Danio rerio: one gene and its partners. The protein of the gene in region 1 interacts with the protein of each later gene in a pairwise test. Links are inferred from orthologs where the notes say so. Each region holds a gene or a part of one and is shown in the gene's direction. Other genes may lie near its edges.

The links.
Region 2: the proteins of ppp1cb (region 1) and ppp1r3b interact in a two-hybrid assay, tested with the Homo sapiens proteins (2 studies listed by BioGRID and IntAct). The link is inferred for Danio rerio from reciprocal best matches to the Homo sapiens genes PPP1CB and PPP1R3B.
Region 3: the proteins of ppp1cb (region 1) and ppp1r16a interact in binary tests that used the Homo sapiens proteins (3 or more experiments, as listed by UniProt). The two-hybrid records come from large-scale screens. The link is inferred for Danio rerio from reciprocal best matches to the Homo sapiens genes PPP1CB and PPP1R16A.
Region 4: the proteins of ppp1cb (region 1) and csrnp2 interact in binary tests that used the Homo sapiens proteins (3 or more experiments, as listed by UniProt). The two-hybrid records come from large-scale screens. The link is inferred for Danio rerio from reciprocal best matches to the Homo sapiens genes PPP1CB and CSRNP2.
Region 5: the proteins of ppp1cb (region 1) and sh2d4a interact in binary tests that used the Homo sapiens proteins (3 or more experiments, as listed by UniProt). The two-hybrid records come from large-scale screens. The link is inferred for Danio rerio from reciprocal best matches to the Homo sapiens genes PPP1CB and SH2D4A.

What each region holds. Positions count from the first base shown.
Region 1 is NC_133192.1:27,042,076-27,046,132, reverse strand, and holds the start of ppp1cb (serine/threonine-protein phosphatase PP1-beta catalytic subunit), read left to right. Parts: upstream 1-1,257; 5' UTR 1,258-1,278; coding exon 1,279-1,330; intron 1,331-4,057. UniProt on the Homo sapiens protein: Protein phosphatase that associates with over 200 regulatory proteins to form highly specific holoenzymes which dephosphorylate hundreds of biological targets.
Region 2 is NC_133196.1:21,261,066-21,265,071, reverse strand, and holds the start of ppp1r3b (protein phosphatase 1 regulatory subunit 3B), read left to right. Parts: upstream 1-1,193; 5' UTR 1,194-1,307; intron 1,308-1,572; 5' UTR 1,573-1,670; coding exon 1,671-1,684; intron 1,685-2,815; coding exon 2,816-3,728; 3' UTR 3,729-4,006. UniProt on the Homo sapiens protein: Acts as a glycogen-targeting subunit for phosphatase PP1. Facilitates interaction of the PP1 with enzymes of the glycogen metabolism and regulates its activity.
Region 3 is NC_133187.1:14,314,834-14,318,975, forward strand, and holds the start of ppp1r16a (protein phosphatase 1 regulatory subunit 16A), read left to right. Parts: upstream 1-1,336; 5' UTR 1,337-1,417; intron 1,418-1,564; 5' UTR 1,565-1,718; intron 1,719-4,142. UniProt on the Homo sapiens protein: Inhibits protein phosphatase 1 activity toward phosphorylase, myosin light chain and myosin substrates.
Region 4 is NC_133198.1:36,610,547-36,614,804, reverse strand, and holds the start of csrnp2 (cysteine/serine-rich nuclear protein 2), read left to right. Parts: upstream 1-1,458; 5' UTR 1,459-2,117; intron 2,118-4,258. UniProt on the Homo sapiens protein: Binds to the consensus sequence 5'-AGAGTG-3' and has transcriptional activator activity. May play a role in apoptosis.
Region 5 is NC_133185.1:7,473,440-7,476,958, reverse strand, and holds part of sh2d4a (SH2 domain-containing protein 4A), read left to right. Parts: intron 1-1,466; coding exon 1,467-1,614; intron 1,615-3,519. UniProt on the Homo sapiens protein: Inhibits estrogen-induced cell proliferation by competing with PLCG for binding to ESR1, blocking the effect of estrogen on PLCG and repressing estrogen-induced proliferation. May play a role in T-cell development and function.

The sequences.
Region 1 (4,057 bases):
ACACTACCTGATAAAAGTTTTGTTGTCTACCCCAGTAGTAGGGGCAACAAATAATAAATTGACTTCTAGTTGATCATTTAAAAAAGTGGCAGAAGGTAGATTTTTCAGATGAATCATTTGTTGAACTGTTTTCCAATCATCACAAATACTGCAGAAGACCTATAGGAACCCGCATGGAACTAAGATTCTCACAGATATCAGTCAAGTTTGGTGAAGGAAAAGTCATGGTTTGAGGTTCATTCAGTATGGGGGCATGCAAGAGATCTGCAGAGTGGGTGGCAACATCAACAGCCTGAGGTATCAAGACATTTGTGCTGCACATTACATTACAAACTACAGGAGAAGGCAAATTCTTCATCAAGCGCTCTTCATACCTCAGTTTCCACAACAAAGTTCCTAAAAGCAAAGAAGGTCAAGGTGCTCCGAATTGGGCAGCCTTGTCACCAGACATAAACATTATTGAGCATGTCTGGGGTAAGATGAAGGAAGAGGCATTGAAGATGAATTCAGAGAATCTTGATGATTGCTGGGAGCCCAGCAAGAACGCTTTCTTTGCCATCCCAGATGACTTTATTAATAAGTTATTTAAGTCATTGCAGAGATGTATGGATGCAGTCTTCCAAGCTCACGGGAGTCATACACAATAATAATTATCTTTCCACTGCAGCATGACTTTATATTCTAAACTGTACATTATTTCAGTTAAGTAACAAGACTTGTCTAAGCAAAGTCAGATCTTACTGTCCTAATTAAATAATTAAAAATCGAGGCATGATCATATTTTATTTCAGTAAAATAAGCTTAAACTTAATAAGCTTAGAAGTCAAGTTATTATTTGTTGTCCTTAAAATTTGGATAGACAACAAGACTTTTGTCAGGTTTACATCAGTGGAAACAAATACTAGTCTTTGTATTTTTAATGTGTTTAAGTTAAGGTATTAAAATTAAGTTTTTAACTTTGCATTACATAAACATTAATATTGATTTTATTAAAATATTGAAAAAAATAAATAAATGCCAAGAGTATACCTATTATGAAAAAAATCCATCTAGAAGAGAAACCAAATACACAAATAGCCAAACATTAAACAATAGGAAACACCATTAACAATTAAACTCCTATCAACAGGTCAAAAGTTTGCCTTCAAACGCGATTAAATATTTATGAAAAGGTCATTAATATTGACGTAACTGCTTGTAACCAAGTGAATGACGTCATTGCAAGCGCCACCTAGCGGCCGTTGCTTGAAGCGCTGCATGCAGAACTCGGCACTGAAGATGGCGGAGGGGGAATTAAACGTTGACAGTCTCATCTCTCGACTTCTTGAAGGTAAGCTGTTTGAAAATTTAGCCTTTCTAACGTTTACACGATAAACCCAGTGATTAGACACTAGTTGTGACTTGTTTTATCGCCGGTGAATTGGAAATTTTGCGTTTAAAAAGAGAGCAAAGCTTCGGGTCTCTGCGCCCTGTTTACAAACACGGCAGTGGCCCCGGGGTTTGGGCAGCTTTCATACCAGCGCTGGGAGGTTCAGATTAGATCTAATATCTACCAAAGCAGGGATGAGACGCGAGGGCCTGTGGTTTATACAGCAGATGTTTAAAGAAAGCGAGAAATGGGAGAAAGGGCAGGACGATGCGGTGCTCGCTGCGTCGTCGACTTTAGGCGAATGCAACCGACGTAAACCCGATTCTCCATTAGACTCTGCTTCTACTGGTTTCAAAATACAGGATTACCGTGTTATTCACCGTGTACGTTAAAACTCTTGATTTATGTGAAACAAATGGATTTTCTAAATCATCTTATTAATGTTCACGGTGTTTTGTGTGTAACAATACACTCAATCTTATCCGTAATTGTACAATGTAAGTAACGTTACAATTCACAGCGTTACATTATCGTTACTCTTCATATTTCCCTTTTAATATGTATTATTTGTCATAATTTTTCTTCCCTTCATAAATACATATTATCTTTATACCGTTGCATACCTTTAATGTCTCAATGCTTTCATTGGAAACGTTTGTTATAACTTTAGTAAAGCCATACAAAGAATGTAAGGTAACATTGAGTTGTATATGTTGTTGTTGTTTTTGTTGAGATATAGGTGCTGTTTTTTACTCAGACATTTAAAAAGACATATTTTAGAGCAGTGATCACAATACCGTGAAACTGTGATATTTTTATCCAAGGTTATCATACCGTCAGAATCTTATATCGGTCCATGCCTATTTATCACTGCATATTCACAAGGTTTCATTGCTATAAGGCCGCAGCTAAATTTGGTTGTCAGTTCAGATTTGATTGTTTAAATCTGTGCTGTTTACACAGTTCAGTCATTTATATGAGTGGCAACTACAGCAAGTGCTTTATTTCAAGGAAATGCAATTGATGGGTACATATACAGACATTCTACAGCTTGTAACAAAAAAAAATTAAATAATAACTAAATGTTAATGTTGTAATTGACACAGCAAACCTAAAAACCAATGTTTTAACTTAGAATAAACAAGCTTGTAGTGATAAACTGTATTTTTAATGTCAAAAGACACTTCGCAAGGATTGCTTGTAATTTGTATATGTGGCAAAACTTGAAGAGTGGCCTCTGTGAAGCAGCCTTCTAAAGAAATGTGTTTAAAGTCATCTTTAGTAGCTGTTAACAAAAATGTTGCTATGGTTACCACATTTACATTGTCTCTTGTTTTACTCACGATAGTTTGCAATTATTTGGGGGATTCCTCCTCTATTTAAATACAATTAACACTTTTAAAGCGTTATTTTGTGTACTTGGCCGTAGTAATGTTTCACTTCATTTCCCTAATGATTTAATTGCTTATTATTCCCCTTATTATAAGATTACACTGAATCCTCCTCTTAATGGCATTGAAAGCTGTATATTTCCTCCCGCGTGCTGTAAGGAATGTTACACTATATGTAGTTGTACTTTTAGGCCAATTCACAACTCTCAGACACAGATAACTAGGCATGGGCCAGTATAAGATTCTGATGGTTTGATAACCTTTCAAAAATATTGTGGTTTCTTGGTTTTGTGATAACTGCTCTGAAATATATGCTCTTTTTAAACCTCTGGGTAATAAACAAAAACTTTTTTCCCCTTTGAACACAATATCTTTCATTTTGAAGAGAAATGTTTAAAATATTTTGTAACAGTAAACATGTCCAAATAGTTCAAATGAATCCTTGTCTTTCTGTTATGAAATGAATCATTGTCTTTATTAGTTTTAAAAAAAGATTTTTTTATTTTATTTAAAACAACGTCTTTGGATATCTTTTCTGCTAGACATTCTGTTGTCCTAAAAACAAAAAAAGTACACATATCTTAGGAATGACATTGCAGAAAATTTGACAGTTTTGCACCTTGACTTTTCCAAACTGCGATATACCTTGAAAGTGGTGATTGTTTCATGTCTACTGACAGCTGGCAGTTTTATTGAATGGGTGAATTTTTTGATTCAGTGTTTATTAGATTTGCGAAAGGTTTGAGAAATTATATGCTGTTATCTGGTGATTGTTGGCATTTATTGGCATAGTAAAATACATGCCAAATAGAAATAGCCATTAGAATAACTATAGATAGTTACTTTTAATAAGTTAGAATTCAATAGAAATTTAATCTTAAGGCTCGTACACACCGGGACGCTTTTCGTTTGCGTTTATGGTCAGCATTTTTCAAGGTGTTTTTCCGGATTCAAACCCAAGCAATTTTGCAAAAGACCCAAGCAAAAGGATATGCAAAATTACTCCTTGACGTTAGATGACGCTACACAACTTTAAGCTTCTGACATTCGCATGTAACACTAAAGAAGAAGACAAAGTTGACATGCTTGTTGTTATGGATGGTTCAAGTAGCAGCTCCAGCTTTAGCGATGAGGAAATGATTATTGTTCACCAATGCAATAAGCAGCTCCACCTTCATATCGCCTCTAGGCATCTTCTTGACAGCTTTGCGCTTGAGAGCCTCCAAGTGCTGTTTACTGTAACTTCAGCAGCTCCGTGCACGTGAACAAAAGTGCCAACCTGATTGGTGGAGAAGGT
Region 2 (4,006 bases), on another chromosome or scaffold:
GACTCCCATGACAAGTTTCATGTAACTTACTGTGGGAAGAGAAAGCAAATAATAATACATAATATCTAAATATTCTTTCCTGTCGAAACTGTCTAAATAAGCATGCAGTGATGTTATTAAAAGATGGTTTTTACCACAGTTTTGAGGGTCAAAACCAGCTGTTATTGCTGACCAATATAATAAGTATTTTCTTTCTAGTCTTTGCATGTGGTTTTGACTTTGTCTAGCATGTGATTGGCATGCTGGATACAAATTTTAGATTGATTTATGCAAGTGAAGGCCAGAAACAACTAGACAGAAACCTTGAATGTCAAATACAGACCAGTGACATTAGTACCTTTCCCTGAAAAAACAGTGACCTTCCATGAAATGTGTTCCTGCAAAATAAAAAATAAAAAAATAATAAAATCTTTCTTTTGTTCCCAGCTATAGCTATAGTATACTGTGACTTTATATCTTACAGTTTCATGTTATAATTGTGCATTTATAAGTTAGCATCTTGAAAAGTTGTTCTCAGAGTTTAAGGTTTGTGTTTCAGTGTTAATTTGAGATATAAACTCAAAATTTTTGGAAATAAAGTAATAATTCTGGGATTACGTTCATTCCCAACTCTAAGTAATAAAGTTTGTAATGGAAACTTCAGAATTGCGAGACGTAAACAATATGAAAAAAACCTTGTAGTAATTCTGAGACATAAACTCAGAATTCAGAGATATAAACAAAACTGCATATTGAGATAAAACTCAGAGATGTAATTTTAGAATTTTCTAATTTTAGAAAGATGACAGAATTTGTAGATTTAAAACCAGTTGTGAGATGTAAAGCCAGAATTGTGAGAGGAAAATGACCTGTGCTATAAATTAAACATTTTGCACTTTTTTATAATAATTATTATTATGATAAATCAATTAGAACTGAGAGAATAAAAAGTCACCAATTATCTACAGAATGTTAAAGCATGCAGAGGTTAGTGGGTTCATGTTTAGAGGGAAAAGTGTTGGATATTTTTATAACAGCATGGGGCTTTACAGTCTCGGCCTACTGACCCCCTAGTGCTTTCAGTCACGTGACAGCCATTGATCAGCAAGGGGTGCATGCATGCCCCAGTAGCCGGCCATGATTGGTCCAAACAGGTAGTTCACGTGAACACAGGCTGATCGTCTGCAAAAATGTAATTGTGGTACCGGTAAGCTAAGAAAGTCACTCATGCCCCACGAGGCTTTTACTGAGCGTTGAAGCTGCGTTCACTTACAAGAGACACTGGGCTTGATGAAGAAGTTTGACCTAATTTAAATGCCGTAACACAGGTATGCATTAACTTGTGCTTTTCAGGTTGCTTCTTTGTAATTAATTTTAAACATAAAAGGAATTACAAGTGAATGCACTGCATTGAATCGTGCCCCAGCACGCAGGCTTTTTTAATATAAGAAGGGAGGAAACTTTATTAAACACTGTCGTGCTCAGGGAAACAGCTACAAACCAGGAAGAACATGACACAAAACGACAAAAATGATATAACGCTTTAAAAACATATGGAAAAACTATATCGCATGCGTTTTCGTTTTTAAAAAGATTCGCCGATTAAAACAGCTGGAGTTGACCGTAGACGAAGGAAGCAGCATGATAAAGCGTGATGGTATTTTGGACCCGGGAGAAAGTTGAAACTGCAAATGAGCTCCAACAGGTGTGAATCTAACGATTTGTTTCATTCATGTTTATTGTGATTATCTACGATATCAATTAAACCACTTTCTTATAAAAATAAAAGGTGAGTTTATCTCGTGCTTTACCTAATCAGGCGGAACAATGTTACATTGTTCCAGACCGTATATGGAAACAAGCTTAGACTTGCTGTGTGGTAAAAGTTTGTTTCATGTAATAGTTGGCTTAAATTAAGTTATATTTCTATATTTGGATGTTTATAAGTTTGTAAAATCTACAATAACTAAAATTACTTGCACCATTACTAAATAAAGAAGACGATTTATGCATAGTTGTGCGTGAATTTAATGTAGTCATCAATAGTTATTTAAACAACTTTAAATCATATAAATGTTCGTTAATGTTAACAGTGTATAGCTTAGTTGTTCTTACAAGTGTGTCCATTATAGGCCATACACCACAATCAATATGAGACTGATACAAGTGCACTGTAAAAATAATGCAACAGCCCTCCACATCTTTCCAGACATGACGTTGTAAGTTATGTAACTCGCTTGTCATTGCATAAACTGAGAGTATTACAGCTCACCTTGTCTCCCAATACTCTCAAAATGTAGGCTTTCATAAAGATATTGTCAATTACTATTAGTAATATATCCTTGCATATAGTCCAGCTTGGCTTATGTGCATATATTTCTTCTAATTATAACGTTTTATAATTTATGAACACTAGAGGGTGCACACTATCTTTGTGTAGTACAACCTCTCTGGGTTTCAATATCCACTCTCCGGCCTCGAGCTAAGATAAACTTGTTTGACTTGTAGACCCACTTACTGCAGTCGTTTGCGTAATGTTTAATTCTTTCATAGAGTCTATATTAAACCCTAGTTGCTGTGCATAAAGGTTTAATTGCTTCATACTGAGCCTATATGAGTTACTTCATCCTGAGTTACTTTAAAGTATGAGGGTGAAATTTAAATTAGTCATGCATTGGAAGATTTCATCAGCAGTATTCACAGACCAGGGGTGCACTCTTTAAGCTTCTCTTTAGCTTTTTAGCTTCTTTTTGAGGGAAGCTAATTTTTAGGAATGCAAACCTCTCGTGATGTATTAATTTGGTTACTAATACATGTTTTTTTTATTTTATTTTAGTGCACGTAGCTGCCCTCCCAAAGAATCTACCATGCCTATCGAACTGGCCATGTCGCTTTATCTGTCAAGCGATGAGTTCCTGAACCCAAGGGCATCTAAATACAGCGGGCCCTTGCAGCCATGTCTAAACCAGTGTCAAAGCTCCAAAATTAGTTTTAGCTCTCTTAAGGAGCAGTCCGAGTTCAATGGGGTCAGCAGAGCCTTGATGATACCTGGCAGGGCCAAAAAACATGTCTCTTTTGCTGATCACAAGGGCCTCGCTCTGACCGTGGTGAAGATATTCTCTGAATTCGATGACCCCATTGACATTCCAGACAACATCGATAATTTTTTCACCTCTTCGCTGACTGTATCAGAAGGAAAGGACAAATTAACCCTCGATTTTGAGCAGCCGTCTGCTGATTACTTGAAATTCCGTCAACGAATAGAAAATGATCATGTCTGTCTCGAACACTGCATGCTTAAGGAGAAATCTATAATGGGCACAGTCAAAGTCAAGAACATTTCCTTTGAGAAGTCTGTTAAGCTTCGCATTACATTTGACACTTGGAAGAACCACACAGATGTAGAATGCCAGTACGTAAAGGACACTTACACCGGCTCAAACCGGGACACTTTTTCATTTGAAGCTAGTTTGCCTGAACAGGTGCCCTCACATGAACGCATCGAGTTCGCTATTTGCTATGAGGTCAATGGTGATACACTCTGGGATAACAACCAAGGAAAGAATTACAGAATCATTCAGTCAGCACTGAGGAAGAGTTCAAATGAATCTAACGGTGGGCATCAGCAATATTCCCAGAGCGACTGGGACATTCATTTTGACCGATATGGCAGCCCCAGATGCTCCCGTGGAATCTTTCCCCATTGGCCAAGCTATGTTGGATATGAAGATATCGGCCCATATTATTAAGAATCTACTTTTGGCGTAGTCTATCATGCGCGCTTATCCAGAAGACATTGTGATGAATGCCACTTCAAAATGACACTTTAAAAAACACAGCAGGTTTGATGTTCTAATCCAAGAACTTGTCGGACTCTGAAGCCATATAGACTCTTGAGATATTTATTGTTAATAATGGATTACATTGTGCAACAAAATGAGTCCTGTTTTTAAAAATACTGTTCCTGGTGCGATACTAATGTAATTATGCGGGTAAATTTGTTTATTTCTAGTGCCTGTCAAATGCT
Region 3 (4,142 bases), on another chromosome or scaffold:
AACAACTACGACTGGTCTTCAGCTGCGCTCCCCGGTCTGCTGTATTCTCCAGTCCAGAGCTTCACTGCCCAGTGTTTGAATTTTAATTTATATATTTATTTATATATTTATTTACCTTTTAATGATTTCTTGTTTACTTTTCTTGTTTGTTTACCCTTTAGTTTAATTATATATATATATATATATATATATATATATATATATATATATATATATATATATATATATATAAACTTTATTTTATACTGTTTGCTTATAATTAGATACTGTATGTGTACTGTATTTATTAAATGTTGTGAAATATATAATAAAAAGTTTGATATTCATTTGTGTGGCATTTTTACACTTTAAAGTTTACACATGCAGTTTTTAAATTAAATAGGAAAAATAAATGAACAATATTTCATATTAAGCAATACTGGAAAAGAATTGCTGCTTATCCTGTATTCTAGGCAGTAATGATAAACTGCCACAAAAAAATATCAATACAAGTAGTAAGAACGCCGCCTCGCGGTTGCTGAATGTCGCACGACAACGTTGCTACAGCCTTCTCACGTCTTACATTTCTACGTTGTGACAATGTAGCGAGCACGTAAGCGGCAACGTTGCCTTTGAAAAAATACAACGTTGTGCAGACATCGCTACAACGTAAATGTGTTTGTTGGGCGACCCTCATGATGTTTAAATGGCAACCTTATGACATCGTTGTGACAACCTTTAGCAACAACGTAGAATCCTCAACCTTTTTGCAATGTTGATACAACGTTGTAGGAAGGTCGCTACGTTGAGGCAACGTTGTGTGTTTGTTGGGAATTTTTGTTATGTTTATTTAAACGTTTCAATCTCTTCTGCATTGCTGTCTTCTGAGCGCATGCTATTTGATATGTAATTCACAACATGAAGAAAATGATTTTTTTCTCTTTTTCTTTTATTTGATCAAGCCATACAAAATAAAACGAACATATACAGTCAAGGCCGAAATTATTCATACATACCCATGTGTATGAGTAATGAATATGAAGGGAATTTCTCCTTGTCTTCTTCATAGACATGAATTAGTTGTTATAGTAACAACGCCCCCATGTTGTGTACATGAGACACAACGCAACGCTTGATCTTAGAACGCCTTTATTAAGAACTTTACAACACAAGACAATAGTTTTGTTTAAACAATGTGGATGCAAATGCTTACTGTCTGGCATGGTCATGGAATTCTCCACAGGGATCTATCGATATAAATTAATTTAACGAATAGTGTATCAATAATTAAAGTCGAACATAATTGGTTAAACCTGACAAGCGCAGAGAAAAGTAACAGACACCACGTTGCAACGCTGTCAATTGCCATTTGCCACTTTGGAGGTCTGGGAAAGAGGTTACACCTGAAAAATTAACACTGGTAACTTTAGAAATTGAGGTGAAAATATATAGTAAAATGTGAAAAAATAACGTTTTTTTTCAGACCAAACCGGTCACTTAAAAAACTATTATTGCCCTTTAGCCGCATATTCTCCATTTGTGTTTCTGTGGCGATTCTCAGTGTGGTGTGTTTGTGTGAGAGTAGCGCCGACTGTCGGGATGCATCGAGCAAGTGGACGGACCGAAGGGCGCAGCGGATGTTATGGAGAGTAATATATTTCCCGTAAAAGCTGACGAAGGGGATTGAAGCGCCGTTAAACAACCATGAATGCACAGACTGATTTCAGCTGAAGCAACAGGTAAGACAAAAGCGTTGAATGTGACGTGTCAAACAGGTGTTTAAATGACAGGTGTGTGTTCAGGTGCGTTGACAGGCCATTGACAGTGTTACATACAGTAACATCAACGCTAAAACAGCTTTATTATGGAAGGACGGATTCAGCACAGTGTTATGTTAATGTTTGAAGCAGTTTTGGATCGGTGATACTTTTTGTATGCGGATTATTGAAAAGTTGAAGTGAACTCTGGACTTCAGGCAGGTTAGCATTATGCTAGTAAACAGGAAATAGAGTATTTCAAATAATATTTTTTGGCATGTTCTATTGTAATACTAAGCTTTTGACATGGTACAATTGCGTCATCATGTTTTGCTTAACACTTTATATATCAAAGTACTACGTAAATATCATAGTACCGTATTGTTATGGAATGCTATTCTTGATTCGAATCACGTTTCATGAGTTTTCGATTAAATAAAATGTTCAAATGTTGGTGACGGTTCACTTTTATTATCATAATGCATGAGTTTGAATAATATTTATTAATTAATTAAAATGTAATGTTTATTATAATTATGCAATATAATGTATAGTTCGAGTGAAATAGCTGAGGAACAGGGAAAGGAACAATATTTGAGATTGTTTACTGCTTAAAAAGTAATTTGTACATTACTGCCCCAACAGTGATTATACATAAATATAGCAATTAACAAGCTTAATGCTTCTTTAAGCTTTAGTCACTGTGCCTGCCCACATTTTAGTTTTATGCTAGTTTTGAAACCACACAAACGCGCACACACCTACACACATTTAATTAATTAAAAATAATGGTTAAATGTTGCCAACAAGTGGACGGTCAGTTATTATGAATAATAATGAATACATAATAAAATAATCACGAGTAGGCATGAGTTGATATCCAGTTTTAAAACCGCTAAACTTTTCTGTCATACTGTTCATATAGTATACGTATATTGTTCTTTTTATTGAATATTTTATTTAGTTTTTAGAGCAACAGTATCTCCAGCAGAAAAAGACCCTCCACATTAAAATGTACTGGTCAACCAACGATTCAGAAAACATCTGAAAAACGAACTGCTTATGCAGTAACATCCAAGCATGCTGGCCTGAACAGTGCAGCGGCTTACTTTTTTATCCAAAAAAAGAGAAAAGATTCAAAGATGCCTTTTCAAGTTGTAAAGAAATCTGTGTTTTTAAAACCAATAAAGACAGCAGAAGTCTCTTTCAGCAGAAGTGTTTCTTAAAATTACATTTTAGGGATGTCCTGATCAGGTTTTTTTTGCCCTTAATCTGAGTCTGAGTAATTTGATTTTTACTATCTACCGATAACCAAACCCGATGCGATACGTCTATAATACATAAAAACTAAAAAAAAAGAATAAAAAAGAGCAAAGAAACAGATCCAGAATGTTCCTTATTTTTTTGAATAATTTACCTTATTTTACCATTCAACAACTCTGTTAACAAACAGAGCACTTCTGTGAGGTTGCTTGAATAATCAAGCGATAAACAACATATATTTTTTACTTTTGGACTTAAATGCAACAGTAAATATAAAAAAGCTAATATAAAAACAAATAGCACCTCAACTTAAAATGCCTGGCAGGCAATCACAAGTAGGCATGGGCCGGTATAAGATTCTGAGTGTATGATAACCTTGGAAAAAAAAAATCACGGTTTCAATGTTTTATGGTATTCTGCTGTCTTCATTTGTTTTAAAAAACACAGAGTTCTTTCAACTTGAAAAGGCTGTTTGAATATTGTTTCTGCTGAAGATACTGTTGTCCTAAAAAACTTAAAATGAAATGTAAAAAAAAAAGAAAAAAAAACTTGCATATACCGTAGGAACGGTATAGCAGAACATTTTGGCGGTTTTAAAACCTTGACTTTTACAAACCACGGTATACCTTGAAAATGATTATCGTCCCATACCTATTCCCAAGTTTAAAAATCTCATAGTTTGCTATGGCAATGTTGTTGTCCTTAACTTTATAATACCTCCAGACTGCAGACATACTCACGTTTTCCGCTTCAAGCTACTTCCATGTTCTACTCTGCCAGCATTTGACCAATAGTGTCTCTGCAACAAGGTGATGTCATGCCGCATGCGTTGCTGTTTCTGTGTGAAATCAAGAAAGAGGTTTAACTCTGTGCCACTGCATAACTATAGATGTTAAAAACAATGAGAATATATATATATATATATATATATATATATATATATATATATATATATATATATATATATATTATAATATAATGTCTATTATAATTATAATGTCTGATTCCAGTGGAGTCTAAAACCGCATGATCAGGCCCGATTTCCGATCATGTGATCTGGACATCCCTATTAAATATGTTGGGTTCAATAATTTTTACCCACTCTATAATCACAATACTCTGTTACCATAAAACCATGATATT
Region 4 (4,258 bases), on another chromosome or scaffold:
TAGAAACGAGTTTGTCTTTAAATGTTTAACAGTGTTACTGGTTAAAATCGATTCCTTCCTTTATCGAGAGACTATTAAGTTGTTAAGATTATATTAGAATGCCTATTAAGATTCTACAGTGGAAAACACTGCAGACAATTCATGGCCATTCAATAAGGCACTGCATTGGTAACATGGGTCAGGCCTGTAGCCAGCCTGGTGAAAGTGGGTGGTTCTTTTTGTTTTTAAAGGCAGACTTTTTTTTTTTTTTTTTTTTTACAGCTATTTGGTTCATTTTCTATTTGATTTTTAAAAATTAATATATAATTCATTTTTTTAATTTTAAATTTTCTATTAAATACTGCATTTTAGTGACATTTCAGCACCGTTTTTTTGCTGGATTAGCCTGTCAGATGGTTGAAAAATAGGAATCTGTTAAATTTTTTAATTAAATCTGTTGCCTGTTGTCATTTATTAGACGAATGACAAACTGGTCAGTACATTCAATCTTCCACAGTCCAAATTTGGCCATTTGAATCATAAATTAAATTAGGTAAAGAATAATAAATTATAAAAGTACATTTGAAAGTTACAAATGACAACAAGTCTAATTGGTATTAAAGTTAAACTTTAATATTGGCCGCTTTTGGTGCTTCAAACTTTTTTATTGGTCTTAAAGCCTTTTTCATTGGGTTATCATATATTAATTATGGCATAGGAGTCAAAACAGGACAAAAGTGCTCATGTTTAGGACAAATTCTGGACGTTTGTCAGTGGAGGGTGGGTCTTTCATACCACCCGAACCCCCCCCCCCCCCCCCCCCTAGCTATGGTCCTGTGGGTGCACATCACCCAAAAATTAAATTAAATAAATAAAAATAAATAACCTCAAAATCTATATTTGCATATGTAAATTAGCAAATTTTGGACTATTAATATATCTTATGAAATGATTTAGCTTCATTGCCAAAAATAAGGGGCACAAAATATATAACCAAATCAATGAATCTAAATTAATCTCTTATCCTTCTCTTTTGAGTTTCAGGCTGAAATGTGTCCCCAGCATGAAGTTGACACACTGAGCTTCATCTACCTTTATTTTTCTTACATGTGTAATTGTTTTTGAAGTCTTTTCCTAATAGTGCTCGTCTAGTCTAGAGTTTGAGAATGACCCCACTTAGTTTCCATGGAAACCGAACTGTCAAAAAAAGCAAGGACTACAAACAGACCCAGCTAGCTTAGCGTGACTGTCACAGATAAGGCGTCTGTTTGACACACAGTTGCCTTTTATTGCGTTACACGCCTTGTTTCCAAATATAACCGCAGAGAGGAACAATGTCCGTTTTCCTGTCGAAGAAGACGACGTAGTTTCGAATGCTAACAAGCGGTTTTAGAACTACACTTCCCGGCATCCTCTACGCCGTCACGTACGTGACGTCACAATCAGTATATATGGGTGCCGTGCGGCATTCCTTACTCTATTGTTACATTGTAACAAACCGGGGCAGAAGAGAGGCCCATAGGGTCCTCGGGCCGACAGATACTACACATCATTTTTGTTTTTTCTTTCCTTCGGGGTGGAAATATAACGTTGCGATTTGTCTAAACATAGCGCAGAACACAACCACCAATCCGGAGGAAAAAAAGCCCCGAAGGCTCGGCTCTATCTGGTCTTTTTCAATGCAGGCGTTTTAAAGGATCACCTAGAGGTTTTATGTGCATTTATTGGACGCCTCAACGCCAGGATTTGTCATTTCTAGTGAATACGGTCCTTGTCTGCCTTCGTCTGCCCCGTTTTTTATCTTTACAGAGCTTGACTGCAACGTTGAATTCTCGCATAGGCTTCTTAACACACAAACCCCCCATTTACACTCCACGTAAAGACTAATATCCATTGTTTACGATGCTTAAATGTTCAGACATCACTATATCTTCGTGAAAAAGCTGATATTTCCTCTTTGGTCTGGTCATTTCCATGGGCTGAAGTCGCTTTTGTCTGTCATCTCGTAACCTTGTGGAAGTCTAAAGCTGAAATATTGGCTCAGAAAATCCCCAAAGAACAGAAAACCATCCAAATAAAGGAAGCACAGGAACGAGCGACAGATTCGGCGGTTTAAAGGCTGTGTATTTCTGCCCAAGGTAAGTCAACGAGAAAAAGGTTTTGTGTTTCACTTTTGCCTTGTCTTTCCCCATACAGCCCAGCCTACACGGAAAAATGGGTTGATCATTGGACCGGTTGCAACACAGCATGCCATTTTCTGCCCTGTCATAAGACCCTCTATCTGTATTTTCCAATAAAGCATATAAAATCATGGGATTGATCATATGTGATGTGTCATCCCAATCATAGTGGGTCATACTGTGGCAGGCCGTTTTACCATCTATCCCTTTAACGTGAATGTGTTTCAGCACTTCATTTATAAGCACTTTGTCAATCTCTGCTATTGTGTTGGTAAATTGTTTCCCATTGCATTTAATATTTCAGTGACAGTATATTCTAGTAATTAATATACAAATTGTTTTCTTTGATGCTTGATATAATGTGTTATCCTAACAATATTGCATTCAAATATACACCAATCTACTTTATGTGTTTGTCACTAGTTCCAACAGATGTTACTAGAGATATTTCTTTACTCACTTGTGTTTTTCTGGTAGTGGCCAGAAGTCAAATTTGGAAAATGTAGTTCATAATTTGACATGCACAACACTACATATGATGATACTATTAGTAAATCTTAAAAAGCAATGACAACTGAAATACACAGTCATCTATATAATTGGATGTCAAATGTTTGCAAGTTGTTTCTATACTAATAATTGCCAAATAAGTGTCATTAACTTGTTATTTAGTGTGATTACTGAATAAATAATTGCTGAATCTATTATAAATGCACATTATTGGTAAAATAATTGCATTTTAATAGACACTGTTGTGCAAACAGTCATAATAAATCGTCAATTATTTGCCTATTTCACTGCCAGACCCCTTTAATATCCCAGATGCTGGGTGTGTATGGAAGCGGTGCACGGCAGCATCTACAAATAAAAATAATGTTTGCATTTTAAGAAATTGCACCGTCACCTATGCAGTTTGTCCATTGAAAGGCATAGTGTTTGTGTGTGTCACATCTAGGACGAGCTATTTCAGTGCGTACCAGTCAAACAGGCTGATGTGTAGTCAGTTCGGCAAGGTGATTATTCATGCTTTCTGTCCACCTCAAATAGACCACAGGATGTGTGTGTGTGTGTGTGTGTCTGCAAACATAGACCAGCCCACAGTCGCATCATTGCTTTTAAATGACCTGTGCTGCATTCATTCATTTTCCTAAACATGTCATTTCTTGATTTTTTGAGGATTTGCGCTACTGGATTTGCATTTTTGGATTGAAGGAGTGTCTCTGGATGTATGGGATCATATTTATTGCCTCGGGGACCATCTCTGGGATATGTAAATTATGTCAAACATCCGACATATGCCTTTCAATGAAGTTCGTTTGTCATTTATTTGATATGCATTGGATTATTATGTTTGCTTTCAGGCTCATTTTTTGTGCTCCGGTTTTTAATAGTAATGGTCCCCAATAACCGCATGGTACAGTGTGCAGTGCTTTTAAAAGCCGCTTGCCAGTTGATCATAATTCAAAAATGAAGAACTACTGAGTACTTTGCATCAAAAATGGTGTGTTTTATACCAGTTTATTGCATATTTGAGATATCCATGTTTTAGGTTTTGATCATGGAGAATATGTGAACCTGATTTCACCAAGTGGGACATGTTCCTGGGTTAACATCTATGTTGATCCTGGAACAAAATTCCAATCAGCCAATCGGAATTGAGGGCTATGTTTTCCGTTTATGTTATGCTTAGGCTTCGGTTAGGTTTATGCACTTCTATATGATTGTTATCCAACTATTATTCACCTCTGATTTTGGGAATAATTTACCGTTATGGTTGGGTTTAGAGGTAGGGAATAGGTATGGATTATATTTTCCCAACATGTGGCAATGTGTGAAACTAAAATTTACAGTTTTTAGATTCAAGATTAATAGTTTTCTAATGAAAAGTGCTGGTGATTATTGTTATCATTTTAGCATTGATTTATTTAGGTTTTACAATTAAGAGGCCACTTAATAATTCATTAGTATTTTACTGGATTCATTTATTATGTGAATGAGTAAAGTGCAAATTTCAAATTTAAATTTCAGGGCTTTTTTTGCCAAGAAAATCACAGTCAGTCAAAATAACAAATGTTTTCATTTGTTGTAATTGAAAATCA
Region 5 (3,519 bases), on another chromosome or scaffold:
CACATTTCTAAACATAATAGTTTTAATAACTAATAATAACTAGTTTATTTTATCTTTGCCATGACGACAGTAAATAATATTTTAATAGATATTTTTCTAGACACTTCTATACAGCTTAAAGTGACATTTAAAGGCTTAACTAGGTTAATTAGGTTAACTAGGCAGGTTAGGGTAATTAGGCAAGTTATTGTATAATGATGATTTGTTCTGTAGACTATCGAAGAAAAAAATAGCCTTAAGGGGCTAATAATTTTTTCCCTAAAATGGTGTTTAAAAAATTTATAATTGCTTTTATTCTAGCCAAAATAAAACAAATAAGACTTTCTCTAGAAAAAGAAATATTATCAGACATACTGTGAACATTTCCTTGCTCTGTTGAACATCATTTGGGAAATATTTAAAAAAGAAAAAAAATCCAAAGGAAGGCTAATAATTCTGACTTCAACTGTGTATGTATGTGTATATATATATATATATATATATATATATATATATATATATATATATATATATATGTGTGTGTGTGTGTGTGTGTGTGTGTGCGTGCCTGCGCGTGTGTGTGTGTGTGTGTGTGTGTGTGTGTGTGTGTGTGTGTGTGTGTGTGTGTGTGTGTGTGTGTGTATTGACGAATAATTTCAAACAGGCCAATTAACGGAGATGGATCAATTTTAATAAATGTAATTACTGAAAATGAATCAAAAACAGACTCCCAAGAAGGAAACGAAGCTGGATAGGTCCAAAACATGTGAAGTAGATTTGCAGGTTCGGAGTGACATTTGTCACAGTTTAAATCTGTAGCAGTGAACACGCGAGCCAGTTTACACTAAGACCAGTGAACCCTGTGGACTACTTTGCACAGTAGAATCCCATGACGAGCACATACAGATGATGTTTGGACCTTTTGTAAAGTTTTAACCAAGCCGTACAATTTTAAGTTGAGTCAACTTTTTTTTCTTTTTTCTTTTCTTTTTCTTTTTTTTTTTTTTACAGTGCAGGTTCTCATAAAATGTGTGCTTTGTTTCAAAGTTGGTCATGGGCATCCAGGGTATGCATCAGTGCACAGTGCTCATGAATGTGGTGCACACCCTGTACTCACACTGAGGAGAGAAACTGTTGAATAAAGACATTATTCCTGTTTTATATGAGCACAATTGACATGATAGGATTTTGAATGAACCACTGCAGGTGTGTGGTCTGTTTCGAGGATGCTTTTGGTTCCTTTCTGCTCGAGTCAAAACCATTGTTGTGTATGGAGTTTGAGGGAGCTTTCACATTTCACCTGAAATACCTTAAATTGTATTCTAAAGATTAATAAAGGTGTCAGGGGGTTTTAGTAATTAATAACTGAATTTATATTTTGTGTAAACTAATACTTTACTTATTGCAGGGGCTTTTTTTGTTACCCTTTGTTCCCTTTTTCTCCTTTTAAGTTTATTTGTGGTCTCTGGATGCTTGTTTTTGCTCAGAAAATGGAGCAGGAGGAGAGGCGTAAGGCTGAGGAGGAGCTGAGGAGGCTGGAGCAGGAGAGGAAACAGCAGATTTACCAGTGCCTAAAGGAGGTGCAGAGCAGCAAAAACACACTAGAGGAGGAGGATAAGGACTGGAAGGAGACATGTAAGACAAACCTCATCAGTGCTGAACACTACACCTTATTTTCTTATGAGTTTATTATTTATTGTTATATTTTAACTTGTATTTGTTACATGTACTACTCATTTAGGATCTGCATTACTGTACTGGACATTCAGGTGGATCTCTGAATAATCCATTAGTTGACTTTATTTGTAGAAAGTGATTAAAACCCCTTAACTGCAACCCCCACTTTTTGAACATAGACATGAAAATGGCATGTTCAACTTCATAGACCTCAAATTCCGGGAGGGCCACAGCTCTGCACAGTTTTGCTCCAACCCTAATTAAGCACAGCTGATCCAACGAGTCAAAGTTGTCAAGATCACTAGACATTATTAGATCAGCTATCTTTGATTAGGGTTGGAGCAAAACTGTGCAAAGCTGCGGCCCTCCAGGTATTGAGTTTGAGACCTAGGACTTAAATGAACGCCAATCTTCAACACTTTGCTATATAGATATAAGCTTAGTCTCATTTTAGACAGATGTACAATTTTTATTATATTTAAAAGGGTTCAACACAGTTTGGACAGTGTTTTGTTGTGTTTCATTAAAATTGATTCTCTTAAGACATCAATACTCTGATCAATACTCCTGTTTCAAAATAAATAAATAACTGTTGCTCAGTAATAATTCCTTAAAATCAATTAAACCATCAAAAAATAGACATTTTAAGCTTTGAAATCATATATAGTTTGTCATTACTGACTTATGTTTAGACTTTAAAAATGTAACTGCAAACAGTCCAATAGGTGACATATTATAAAATATATTGTATTGACATATGGTAAAATATTTATTTAGAAGATATAGGCATCATGATTCATGATAGAATCATGATTAGGATTAGACTGACATATAGTGAAGTTATCTTAAGTGTCCCGGTAGCGAGACGGTGACAGTTAAACCTATTGACTTAATTTTCACATTTTTCACATACTGTAGTTTGCTGAATTTTAAGTCACCTTAAAAGTTCAACTTGTCACTTGTCAAGTTTTTTTTATTAAAGCAATTAATTGATCTAACAGTGAACATGTACTTATGTTACAATGTCAACAGCGAACATTTCGAAACCCCTTAGAAGGGAACATGATGATTAGGGCACAGGGATGAACCCTCAATGTTCTGAACGCGTTAGATGTATTTCTGAAACATGAAATATTTGATTTGGATGTTCATTTAATGTTTTTTTAATGTAATTTCTTGTTTCAAAATGTCCAGAGAACATTGAAAAGCAAGTTGTAAATGTATTATATTAACAGAAAATTTTTACAAAATATATATCTCCTTGTTTGTTTTGTCACCCAAAATACTCTTACTTTCTCATTACTGCAATTCCATAAAAATAATCTCATTATTTGTTATCTTTTTTTTTTTTGTCAATTTTCAGTATCGTCATTACACTACTACATCTTTTTTAGTTAAAATTTTTGTTGTATAAAAGTCTACAAGACAATAAATTAGAGAACACATATTATATAAAAAATAAATTGAAATTACTGAGAAAGAGTGGAAAATAATTTTTAAAACACAGTGGAAATCAACATCCTCCTCAGTCTGGAGGGAATTTGGTTGGAAAAACATCATTCGTTTTTTCGTCATCCCTGAGCAAAAGACACATTTATACAAAAAGGCAGTCTGCTGGAGATTATGTGGCTCAAATAAAGCAAATCATTCACATATTTTCTGGAAATGTTTAAAAATCCAGGCATTTTGGCAAGACATTCATAAATATTTAGAAAATATATTCTATATCCCCATCGATTTTTCTTCCTCAACTTTATACTTAGGCCTAAAAAAATCCTATGTTAGAAGAAAAATCTGACAAAAAACTGCTGAAAATTTTGCTGATAGCCTGTAAAAAATGCTATAACCAAAAAATGGTTACCG